Caenorhabditis elegans: one gene and its partners. The protein of the gene in region 1 purifies or fractionates together with the protein of each later gene. This does not show direct contact. Each region holds a gene or a part of one and is shown in the gene's direction. Other genes may lie near its edges.

Region 1 (4,864 bases):
TAGTTCGACTGTACCACTGATACTTGGGAATTGATTGATATCAAATTGATAATCAACTTTTCTATCGGTAACTGTAATTTGACAGGTTACCCGGTTAACTGTCACGCTGTTATCTGTTATCTTGAGATAGTGGATGTAGGAAGGGGTTGATTTTTCTAAGGTATGAATTGAAGGGCAGACGAGGCAGAGTTGGATTCTGAAATATACTTATAGTTAGGTAGGTTTAGCTATGTATTAAAAAATTGTGTGGCACTTGAGCAAAAAGCTTGAAACATAATGTGAGCTGTGATTTGGATGAATTTCCTCTATACCCAAAAATTTCAACTCCGAAAACTCCGTCATTCTCAAAACTCAACCCTCTAAATACGTAACTTTTCCAAGCCAAAATACTCACCTCAAACTTGGATCCAAATGCTTCAATATGAACTTCAATACTTGGTAGCTTACTGGTTTTGAATTTAACATAGTGTGCAGGTGTAACGACGAGAATGGCACAGCAAGACCCCACTGAGATTATATCGATTTTATATTGGCTGGAAATTAGGGCGCATTTGCAGCTGGGGTCATTTCGCTGAGCAAAAGGGTGGTACGGTTATTTAGGACAGATGGTGTTTTGTCTAAAAAAACAGGTAGGCAAGATCTAGTCAGAGTTTATAGGGCCTGGGGCCCTATAAACTCTCGGCAGTTATTAAGCTTTCAATTCTAAATTTCACTCTGTTGAACAGTAGACTCGTAAAAAAAAAGTGCTCAGAAAATCTAGTCCATCAGACCGCTCTAATTTTTGCAAATTAGATTTCATAAGAAGAATCTATACATGTTGCTAGTTAAAGGTGGAGTAGCGCCAGTGGGGAAATTGCTTTAAAACATGCCTATGGTACCACAATGATCAAATTCCTATTTGAATTACCGCCAATAGTTCGATGTTCGATGGAGCGCGCTTGCATTATTTTAACTTTTATTTATTAATTTTTCTTATTTTTAATTGATTTTTCATGTTTTTTTTTGAGTAATTTTACTGGAGATTTATCGAAAAATTCAAGATAAATGTAGATTGTTCACTAAAAATAATTGAAAACAGAGATATCACGTTTTTCAACGACGTTGAGCCTGAAATAATCTATTTCAAAGATTTAGATTCGAAATTTTAAATTTAAAATAATGCAAGCGCGCTCCATCGAACATCGAACTATTGGCGGTAATTCAAATAGGAATTTGATGCAATTCGAGATTTTTTCAATTTTCAAAAAATCATATAAAATTTAGAAATTTTTTTTTTAATTTTTACTATGATATTTGGTCATTGTGGTACCATAGGCATGTTTTAAAGCAATTCCCCCACTGGCGCTACTCCACCTTTAACCGTTTTCAGCGAAAAATTGGTCCTGCAAGTTGACGCCTCCCGCAATTCCATAGACCAGCGGGAGACTGCATCGGTGGGAAGACGCAATACGTCACATGGTTGACCCCTCGGTTGGCCAGCACACAGCTCCATATTTTTGAAGTTTTTAGGTACCACCAAATGTTGTATGAATGTTATATTCATGGTGCTTTATCGTTTTTTTCCCCGAAAATGTTGAAGTTCAAATCAAGATGAATAAAACATCGAGGCTTTAATCGGTTTTGCTCTGTACTCAATGGCTTTATTTTCAATCGCTGTTTTTTATGAGCCTGGCACTTATACAATTCTATTGATAATTAATCCTGCACTATCGCTATCACTATGCACAATTTTTTTTTTCAAAAAAAAACAATTACTTTTGTATTGAATTTTCTCTTTTCTCTATAAGTTGCTGCTTACCATTTCCTCTTATTACATAATGTATATAGTTTTTTTTTTCAGAATGCCCTTCAACCTCTTCACCTTTCCACTTGTGATCCGTAGGCAAATTCCTCAGGAAATGAGCTTCATCGACGTGCTTAACTTTTCATTTTGCTCTTCCAAAACTGAAACGTTGGCCAGAAAATCAATAAAAAAAGGATACTCGTCGATGATCCATTCGTGTTCGAATTTATCCGTTGAACGTTCTTACGTCATGCAAATGAAGGACATTAATAATTTAAGTGAACACTTATCGTTTTTAATTAGAGAAGCGTCAAGAGAAGACATTATTCAGCAAGAAAAGTGGTTTAAATTGAAAATTGGACAAACAATGGTTTACTGGTCAGTTCCTTACGTTTTGAAAATATACTAGCCTGATTATCAGCGTTTTTGAGTTCTCTTAAGCGCAGCCGAGCTCAATCAAAATTTTCAAAAACTGTACTTTGAAAAGTTCTGACCGAAAGACTGTAAGTATAGGGTATCCAATATGTCCATATTACACATGTAATACAAAAGTCTTACTGTAAATACAATGCTGGCCAAAAAGATATGCACAAACGGTTTTTCGTTTTTTTTTTTGGCTTTGTTTGAATGGCCATAATTGAAAAACTAAACGTTGTTTTCGAAAACTGTCAACTAACAAAATGCTGGTCATTATGTTGTTCAAATTGTCTGATAAGTATTATTTTACAAAAATTGCCTTGTAAAACAGTACAGCGACAGACATCTGGCTAGTCGATTTTTGACTGAAATCGTCTGTAGCTCAAGAAAAAATCGCTTCCATCTTTAGTAAAAATTATTTCATTAATACAATTATTTTCATGGAAGCAATTTTTATCGAGTTACAGACAATTTCAGATTCAAGGTTAAAAACCGACCCGCCATATGTTTGCCGCTGTAATGTTTTGCAAGGCAGTTTTTGTAAAATAATATTGGTCAGGAAATGTCAACAACATAATGGCCAACATTGTGTTAGTTGCCGGTTTTCGAAAATAATGATTGCTTTTGATTATTCATTTGTTTTTTTGAAGAATCAATAATTTATCATAGTTATGTAGGTCGTTTCACGCCTGAAAACAATACTCTGAAAAGTCCTATCATTTTTATGAAATATGATCCACAACAGTTTGGAATATATAGGCTTAGTTGTATATCATTCACTTCCCGGCGGGTTGAGGACAAAGTTATTATATGCATAGGGCATAAATGTTTATGAAGATCATGTTATTAATTCAATTATTCTCATGGAAGCGATTTTTTCTTGAGTTACAGACGATTTCAGATTCGAGGTCAAAAATCGACCAGCCAGATGTCTGTCGCTGTACCGTTTTTCAGGGCAGTTTTTGTAAAATAATATCGGTCAGGCAATGTCAACAACATAATGACCAACGTTTTGTTAGTTGACCGTTTTCGAAAATAATGATTAGCTTTTAAGTTATGGTTAATTTAACACAGTCCAAAATTCACGAAGCCCCGTTTGTGGCCAGCACAGTAAATAATTTTAATTTTGCATTTCAGCGCAACTCCGTGCCATGAAGCCAGCAGTATAATCAAATTTTATTTCAATGGATCAACCTTAAAAGTAGTTCACGAAATGCTTCGAAACACGATTTTGAACCTCCACCAAACACATCTCAAATCAAATATAATATTTTTTTGGAAGCAAGGAATGAGTCAACAAAAGATTCACCATTTCTCAAATATTCGAAATGTCAACCACATTATTCTAAGTGAAATGGTTAAGCTAGATACAATCCCAATCACCTTTCTAGATCAAATCTTTTCGACATGGCCGAACTTAGGCAGTTTGTCGTTGTATCCACAGATAGATGGTGAACTTAAAGATGAATGTGGTTTGTTCTCAATCAAGAGATTGTTTCTTGGTAGTTCATGTTTAATGGCTGACAGTGTAATCCCTCGATTCAAGGGGCGTCATTTAAGCGCCAAAAATGCATTTATTTCGTCTGAACAAGTTATGCACTGGTTGCACCAATGGACAACGGACATAAATTTTCAAAACATCCAAACAATGACCTTTTCTTTAGCTCCCGGCTACCAATTGAACGTGGAAAACATTTATCAAGAAGTTAATGCAAAACCATGGGATCCTGCCACACGACCCATAGATTATTGCAACGAGTGGGTGATTTGTTGGGGAACTAATCTGTAGACTCGTTTTTTTTCAGAGAAACTCTCGAAAAAATTATCAATTGTGAAGAATGGCTTGATATCTCAAGTAATGGACGACTGATATCAATTTTGGTCAAACCCAAGTCATTTGGACTGGTTCAATGGCAACTTTAAGTTTCTAATTTTTTGTAATCACTTGGTTTACATAGTGAGATGTTGTTTATCGTTAAAATAATCCAGATAAATTTACAGTACATTCCAAAAGAAGTAAAATAATAGTATTTGCAAATTTTTGTTAATTAAATGTCATTCCCGAAGCGTTCAGCCAGCAACGCTTTCACTCGCTCGTCGGCTTCCTCAGCCTCTTGATCGCCCTGAAAATTAGACGGTTCGAGAAAGAATGGCTATGTAAGCTCACCTCGGCAATATTCTCGTAAACCTGAATTATCAACTGAAGAATCGCTGCATCACGAGTCAATAATACTCCTTTGAGTCTGTTAATCAATAACTTGACCTCCATCGAAATGCGTGGATGGGCAAGAAGTTGGAAGAAAGGTGTAGCCAAGTCGCAAACTGAAAAAAAAAATTGATTGAAGCTCGGATTTTCGCTATCTTATAACTTCTATCGATTTTTACTCACTTATGAGTGAGTTTTAGAAAACGAAATAAAATTTATCGTAAGAATACAACATCAATTTTTTTTCAGATCAATTAGAAAAAAAAACATACTTTCGTGGAGCCCGCGGGAGTCCATGGTGTACAGGTCGACTAACGATGCCATTGAATCAATGACCTGAAAGAAATGCTTATTATATTTAAAATACCGTATTTTCTCTATTAGTCTTGCATGCAAGACTAATTGTGCAAGACTAATAAAGACTGCAAGACTATCAGGAGCTGCAAGACTAACGTTCG
Region 2 (3,118 bases), on another chromosome or scaffold:
ATATGGATAATTTCACCTCCTCGAACAATTCTGTACGAGGCCTTTTCGGAGAGATACCAGGTGTTTCCGTTTCGAATTCTACGGCTTCTGGGAACTGGAAGATGACGCAAGAAGCATTTTTCCATAACTGAATTGAAAGTTGACACTTGCTCATTGGACCTAAATTTGAATCGAATTTTTAAAAGCATTTCTTCAATGTGATTTTCCTACCATAAGTCACGAAATTCAATTTCCACGTGGGTTTTATCGTGGTGTTCAGAAATATGTTCACATGGTGATTTCGACACAGGAAGAGTTCTCAAACAGTGGACACACTCATAGCGTTTTGCTATGTCTACATTGAGAAATTCCGATTCTGGGTGGGCGTCTAGAACATGTTCAGTCTGTTTCCTAATTTTTGTATTTCGGTTTCTACCGGTTTCCACTTCATGCTTGCACAGCTGAAAATTGTAGTTGAATCTGACGCAATTGTCGGGGTCTCACCGAACAATATGCCATATCAAGTTGATCTTCCTTTCCGTTTTCAACGATTATCGAGTCATTTGGTGTTTCAGCATCCATTGAGTTTACCATAAACAATTGCGGAATATCTGTTATCAGCGAAATATTAAAAATTAAATGAACGAACTCTTACTGTTTACAATGTTCTCTGATTCGTGATCATCCAAAACTGCATCTTCCTCGATGTTAGTTGGCTCGAGCAAAAGTTTCAACGCATCCGAGTTTTCGGCGAAAGTTCCGCGCTGAAATACTTTTTATTATTTTCGAACAATATTCGAGTTATTCAATCCTTACCGCCCATTTCTCTAATATTTCTTGGTTTGAAGACATCTGAATGGCGGGTTGGTTTGCTTCCGAAAACGGATCAACCGATTTCTGTTCCTCGGCTGTTTCTCGAAAATTAAAAGTTCCACTGTCCAATTTATCCAAATATTCTTTCATTTCTTCCGGAGTTGACGAGAAAATGTGATTCAAGTGATTGTTCGTCTAAAAATATGAATTAGGAAGAATAATTAAAGAAAAAACTCACCAAATAGCGACGAAGCTTTCGTGCAGCATTAATTTGTTCGATGTTATCATCGATACTCACAAGTACAAACCGTTTTCGCAATGATTTCGGCATTGTTATAAAAAGAGAGACAAGTTTGAATTGAGTTCGAATTCGTTCGCGAACGAACGTTCGTGGTCGACAAACTACGGTACGCTGGAGTACGCAATGAGATACGCAAACACGCTCGCGCATTTTTTTGACTTTTGTAATGCGCGCGCGCGCCACGGCCCGGCAAGTGGTACATCTATGCAAATGCGCTCTACTGATAATTTGAGTGTAGACCAGGTTTGGGCGCGTGATAATGAAAAAAGCTTTGGTCCAAAAAATTTAGAATTTAATTTCGGACATTATTTATATGCATCACAAAAAAACTGGACCAACCGTTTTTGAGATACACGCGCCCAAACGTCCAGGTATACGGTAGACAAATTGCGTACAGGTACCACTTCTCGGGCCGCGCGCGCGCAAAAATGTCCCGTGGATTTTTCATTTCACCAATTCTCGAAGTTGAGGCTGAAAAATAGTTGCAAAGTTCCCATTTTGTCATGTTTTTTTTAAATATAACGCGACCCGTTCACTGAATATGGGATTTAACGTCACTTTGCATGCGTTCCACAACGCAAATTCTTTTGTGTATTGCTAACTTTTCTCATCAATGTTGTTCTCTGTTCTTCTAATAATTTAATTCGCCTCATTCGCTTCTCATTTCATGCACTTTTGTCATAGTTAACTACAGATGGCCGCGAATAGTCTTCCTCAAGATATTTCCGATGTGGAACTAGTTCATTTGGCCCGAGCTGCGATGAAACGGGCACATTGCCCATACAGCAAGTTTCCAGTTGGTGCAGCGCTTCTCACTGAATCTGGGGAAATTGTCCAGGGTAATTTGTGATTTCTTGTCGTTGCATAACTCGAGATGTCTGCGGGCTTCTCAGTTTCGCAACATGCATTTTTGAAGTTTCTAGCATTTTCTGTAGGCTGCAATGTCGAGAATGCTTCATACGGTGGCACTATCTGCGCTGAGCGTAGTGCTATTGTTTCTGCTGTGTCACAAGGATACACGAAATTCCGTGCCATTGCTGTCGTCACTGAGCTCAGCGAACCTGCGTCTCCCTGTGGACTTTGCCGTCAATTTCTAGTTGAATTCGGTGACTATAAAGTAAGAAAACTAGAGCTTCTTAATTTTTCACTGTCATCGTTGCAGGTTGTTGTGGGAACTGCATCTAACAATAAAATTCTCATCACCTCAACTCGCGCTCTTCTTCCATTTGCTTTCACTCCTGAATCGCTCGACACTTTTGAGCAAGAAAAAGCATCAGAAGCTAAAGGATTAAAGCAAGATGATGCCACGGAGCATAACGTTACAGTCGTCTCTTAATTTTTTATTCCAATCAGAAACTCCTTTCCACATTTCCCGCCATTCCTAGTAGTGTTTTTTTTCATTTGTGATATCCTTCTCTTTCTTTCAATTTAGTTGTGTCAAAAATTCATTTTATTAATAAAACTTTTCAGAATGGCGGCCTGTGGAAACCCAAGCGCGGCGGTCAAATTTGAGAGGCTTCCAACATTCGCCGAACCAACTCATTACAACGTCCGTTTATCGCCATGCCTCAACCAGTAAGTTCTGTAATAATATTTCAGTTTAGCTAGGACGGCAGTAATAAATGTTGATATGTAGTTTAAATTTGCAACAAAACCACTTCAAGTTCTAATTCTTGTTTTTCAGATTCTCTTTCGATGGTCATGCAACGATTGACGTCACAATCAAAGAAGCTACTGATGTCTTGAAGGTGCATGCACAGAGTTTGCTGATTCAGTCGGTATCGCTTATCACTCAGCCAGGAGACGCTTCTAAATCTCTCGAAACTAGCTACGACGATAAGCTCAATATTTTGACTATCAAGCTTCCGACTACCATGCAGCCACAGAAGGTTCAGCTCGACTTCAAGTTTGTCGGTGAACTGAACGATAAGATGCGAGGATTTTATCGCAGTCAGTACAAGGATAAGAACGGCACCGAAAAGTTCTTGGCTTCAACTCAGTTTGAGTCGACTTATGCTCGCTATG
Region 3 (3,878 bases), on another chromosome or scaffold:
GGCTTTTCAACCCCCATTAAAGTCCATATTCTCAGACAAGTCACTACGTCGTTCTGAAACAATTGGCCGCGCAATTCCTGATGCTTTTCGGTTACTATTGTGACGTAGAAGACACGTGGAAACCCGAGGAAATCAGCAAACAGATTCGTAAAATTGTCGAGACGACTTCTCCCTCGTATAATGGAAAATTGTTGATTTTAAAAGGTAGAAATTCTGCTAAAACTTTGAAAAAGGCAGAAAAAACCCACGATTTTCTAATTTTGAAAACAAAAAATGAACAATTCAAGTTCACTTTTTGAAATTCCGCAAAGAATTAAAAATTCTGATTTCAAATCTGGAAATTGAGCTGATAAAGTAATTTTTTACCTTTTTTTTTCGGAACAAATTTCAAATTTTAAACAACTTTAAAATGTAAAAAATCATGCAAAAATCGTGATTTTCAATCAAAACCTATTTTAATCTTTACAGCTTTTGAAATTTTTCTGAAAAATTAAAAAAATCCGGTAAAATCTAGAAAAAACTAATTATATACTGTTTTTTCGGCTCAAAAATTTAATAATTCCAGTGAAATTCTAAAAATTTTTCAAATTTTCAGATCAAACAGTTCGAGCACAATGCGTTTTTCTTTGTGTCTGGAGACTTGTGCAGAATAAAGAGTCAGATGGACCACTTTTGGCGCCAAAAACTTCGTATCGAAACGTTTTTCTAGGTATTTTTTAAAATTTATCTCGGAATTTTCGATTTTTCGAATTTTTAAAAATTGAAAAACGAAAAATTTTTCGATTTTTTGAATTTCCGAAAAATTAAGAAAATGTTCAGAAAATTAACCATAAAATATGATTTTTTTTAAATCTAATTTTCGATTATATTGATGAGAAAAAACATGAAAATTTTAAGCTTATTTTTTAAAAATCTATTTTCTCCGTAATTTCAGAATTCAAAAAACTCGTTAATCAACACTATCCTCCACTGAACGTGAGCAGTGATGTCTACGTATTCCGAGAATTGGATCATCTCGTTAAAATGGGAATTTTGAAGGCAGACGAGAGCACAAATGTGACAAATACCTCGTTTCGGTGGGTTTTTTTTTCAGCTGAAAAATTCACCTCAAATCCTCTTTTTTTTCAGAAAAGTTTGGCTTCATATCAATGATAAAATTGTGGAGGACTCGATCTCGAAGTTGCAGCTCCCGCGAGTTGTTTCCGACTTTTTTATGACTATTTTGAAGTAATTTTGATATTTTTTGTACTATTTGCAATGAAGATTGATCTCGATATTTATATTTTTGTTGAGTTTTTTTTTCTGTGAGAATTATTTTCGGTTTAAAAACCATCATATTATTTTTTGAACTTGTTTTATAAAAATCTTTACAGGAGCTTCAAAAATCGAAAAAATAAAATAAAACCATTTTTCGTTAATTCAAAAATCCCGAAATAAAATATTTAGTTAAATTTTCATGTTTTAGGGGAAATTCGACAAAAAAAGGAACTCACTGAAATTTTTGAAAAACCGTTCAAATTTACAAATTTTTTCGTTTTTGAGTTTTTGAGTTTTTTGATTTTCGACTTACATTTTCTCCGCAGAAATTTTTCAGTGTTTTTGACGAAAAAATATCGAAAAACGAAAAAAGAAGTGAAAACTTTTAATTTATCAAAAATTATGTATATTCCTATATTGATAGATATGGAAAATTAGAAATTTTTCCAAAAGTCGAAAAACTCAATTTTATTTCCAAAAAAGCGGCATTTTTTCGAAAATTTTACAGAACGACCTATCGTTGTTCCCACAGCTTTTATTTAAAATTTGTGCTAAACTATAAAAAATCACAATATTATTCAGAAAATAATTTTTTTTTCATCAGAATTATTGAAAATTCGATTTTTGGTCCTAAAAAAATTACTTTATGACAAAAAAAATTAATTTCTCCGAATTTCAGATGTCCCACGAGTACGATACAGTTGCACCGCCAAATGCGAAGCGCATGAAGACGGATAATCAATTGGAGGACAAGAAGATTTTGTACGTTGTACTGGAAGGATGTAGTCTTGAAACTGCAAAAGTCGGTGGAGAATACGCAATTTTGAGCAGTGATAAACACGCGAATTTTCTGAGAAAACAGAAAAAAGATCCGGCTGATTATCGGCCAGATATCCTACATCAATGCTTGTTGAATCTACTTGATAGTCCGCTTAACAGAGCCGGAAAGCTTCGTGTCTTCTTTAGAACGAGCAAGAATGTGCTCGTTGATGTCTCACCACAGTGCAGAATTCCAAGAACTTTTGATCGATTCTGTGGACTTATGGGTGAGTTTTTGGTTTATTGGAAATTGAAAAAAATATATTTTGAAGTGTTTTTGTATGTAAAATAAGAAAAAAGACAATTTTTCGAGTTTTTTAAAAATTATTTTTTATCAAATTTAAACATAAATTTTTAAAAATACCCTTTTCCTTTTAAAAATACCCGGATTCAAAATACCCCAAAATAGTCTGAAAATCAAAAAAAAATTCACAAAAAAGAGCACAAAAATCCAATTTTCAAAAACATGCTTTAAAATACTTTTTATTGGATTTTTTGTGACTTTTCTTGCAATTAGGTATTTTTATGCAAAATCCCCCTATTTTCTATTTTCCATATTTTCAGTCCAACTCCTGCACAAACTCTCCATTCGAGCCGCCGAAACCACTCAAAAGCTGATGTCAGTAGTGAAGAATCCAGTGTCGAACCATCTTCCAGTGGGATCCCGTAAGATGCTCATGTCGTTCAATGTACCTGAGCTAACAATGGCTAATAAGCTTGTTGCACCGGAAACCGACGAGCCTCTGGTCCTTATTATCGGTGGAATTGCTCGTGGAAAGATCGTCGTCGATTACAACGATTCTGAGACCAAGATCAGCAATTATCCATTGAGTGCAGCGTTGACTTGTGCCAAAGTGACCAGTGGACTTGAGGAGATTTGGGGAATTATTTAATTGATTTTTTGCAGTTTTTTCATTTTATTGTTGTCTGTTTTTGTTACTATCTTCATCTTATAAAGTGCAAAATCACTTTTTTTTTTCGAAAAAAAATGCCGTTTTTTTGTAAATTTCAATGTCTATTTCTTACTTTTACACTGAAATTGTTTTAAAAAAATCAAATATTCTAAAAACCCAAAAAATTAGTTTTTTCTTTGATTTTCCTTTCGTAGAGTTCTCTTTTTTTTTTATTTTTTCAGTTTTATTAGGTAGTAATTTAAAACGTTTTAAAATTTTACAATATTTGGCATAAAATTCGGCAAAAACTTTTTTTTTTCAGAAAAATTCTAAATAAAAAAGTCCAGGAGCCTAACTTTTCAGTTTTTACCAATTTTTCAGACAAAATCGAAGAATAATCGTGAAAAATGCGATTTTTTCGCTAAAAATACGGTAGCTGGTATCGAAGCGACAATTTTTTTAGTTGCAGAAGGATGTGCGCCTTTAAAGAGTACTGTAGTTTTAAACTTTCGTTGTTGCGGAATTTTTATTGATTTTTTGTAGTTTTTCGATAAATTATCGATTAAAAAAAAAAGATAAACTCAAATAAAAAATTAAAAAATACAAGAAAACTGTAAAATATTATAAATTTCAACATAACTGGAGAAAAACTGTAAAAAAATTTGAAAAAAAAAAACAATTTTCATATTTTCTCTCCAGTTCTGATAGAATTTCTGACATTTTAAACTTTTTTTTTTACTTTTTATCATAAAAACTATGGCAAATTAAGGAAAATTCTGCAGAAATGAAATTTGGAAATTACAGTACTCTTTAAAGGCGCACAATATTTGGCATAAAAAATCTTCGCTTCGAGACCAGGTACAGTAGTTTTGACACCGAAAACGGGCCATTTTTTCAAAAAATAAATGA

The links.
Region 2: the proteins of C32B5.15 (region 1) and cdd-2 fractionate together in Caenorhabditis elegans (co-fractionation; one large-scale study listed by BioGRID). This does not show direct contact.
Region 3: the proteins of C32B5.15 (region 1) and emg-1 fractionate together in Caenorhabditis elegans (co-fractionation; one large-scale study listed by BioGRID). This does not show direct contact.

What each region holds. Positions count from the first base shown.
Region 1 is NC_003280.10:969,904-974,767, reverse strand, and holds C32B5.15 (F-box domain-containing protein), read left to right. Parts: upstream 1-1,817; coding exon 1,818-2,161; intron 2,162-3,337; coding exon 3,338-3,958; intron 3,959-4,005; coding exon 4,006-4,123; 3' UTR 4,124-4,225; downstream 4,226-4,864. Other genes in the region: fbxc-14 (F-box domain-containing protein), read right to left, coding at 1-196, 395-465; C32B5.6 (Resolvase/invertase-type recombinase catalytic domain-containing protein), read right to left, coding at 4,249-4,323, 4,368-4,522, 4,679-4,742.
Region 2 is NC_003282.8:7,546,563-7,549,680, reverse strand, and holds cdd-2 (Cytidine deaminase), read left to right. Parts: upstream 1-1,787; coding exon 1,788-1,932; intron 1,933-2,028; coding exon 2,029-2,210; intron 2,211-2,255; coding exon 2,256-2,429; 3' UTR 2,430-2,563; downstream 2,564-3,118. Other genes in the region: oef-1 (C2H2-type domain-containing protein), read right to left, coding at 1-159, 211-440, 484-590, 635-743, 796-987, 1,031-1,123; pam-1 (Puromycin-sensitive aminopeptidase), read left to right, coding at 2,564-2,668, 2,778-3,118.
Region 3 is NC_003281.10:10,647,583-10,651,460, forward strand, and holds emg-1 (Ribosomal RNA small subunit methyltransferase nep-1), read left to right. Parts: upstream 1-1,936; coding exon 1,937-2,303; intron 2,304-2,640; coding exon 2,641-2,969; 3' UTR 2,970-3,326; downstream 3,327-3,878. Other genes in the region: orc-4 (ORC (Origin Recognition Complex) subunit), read left to right, coding at 36-204, 596-709, 935-1,076, 1,129-1,231.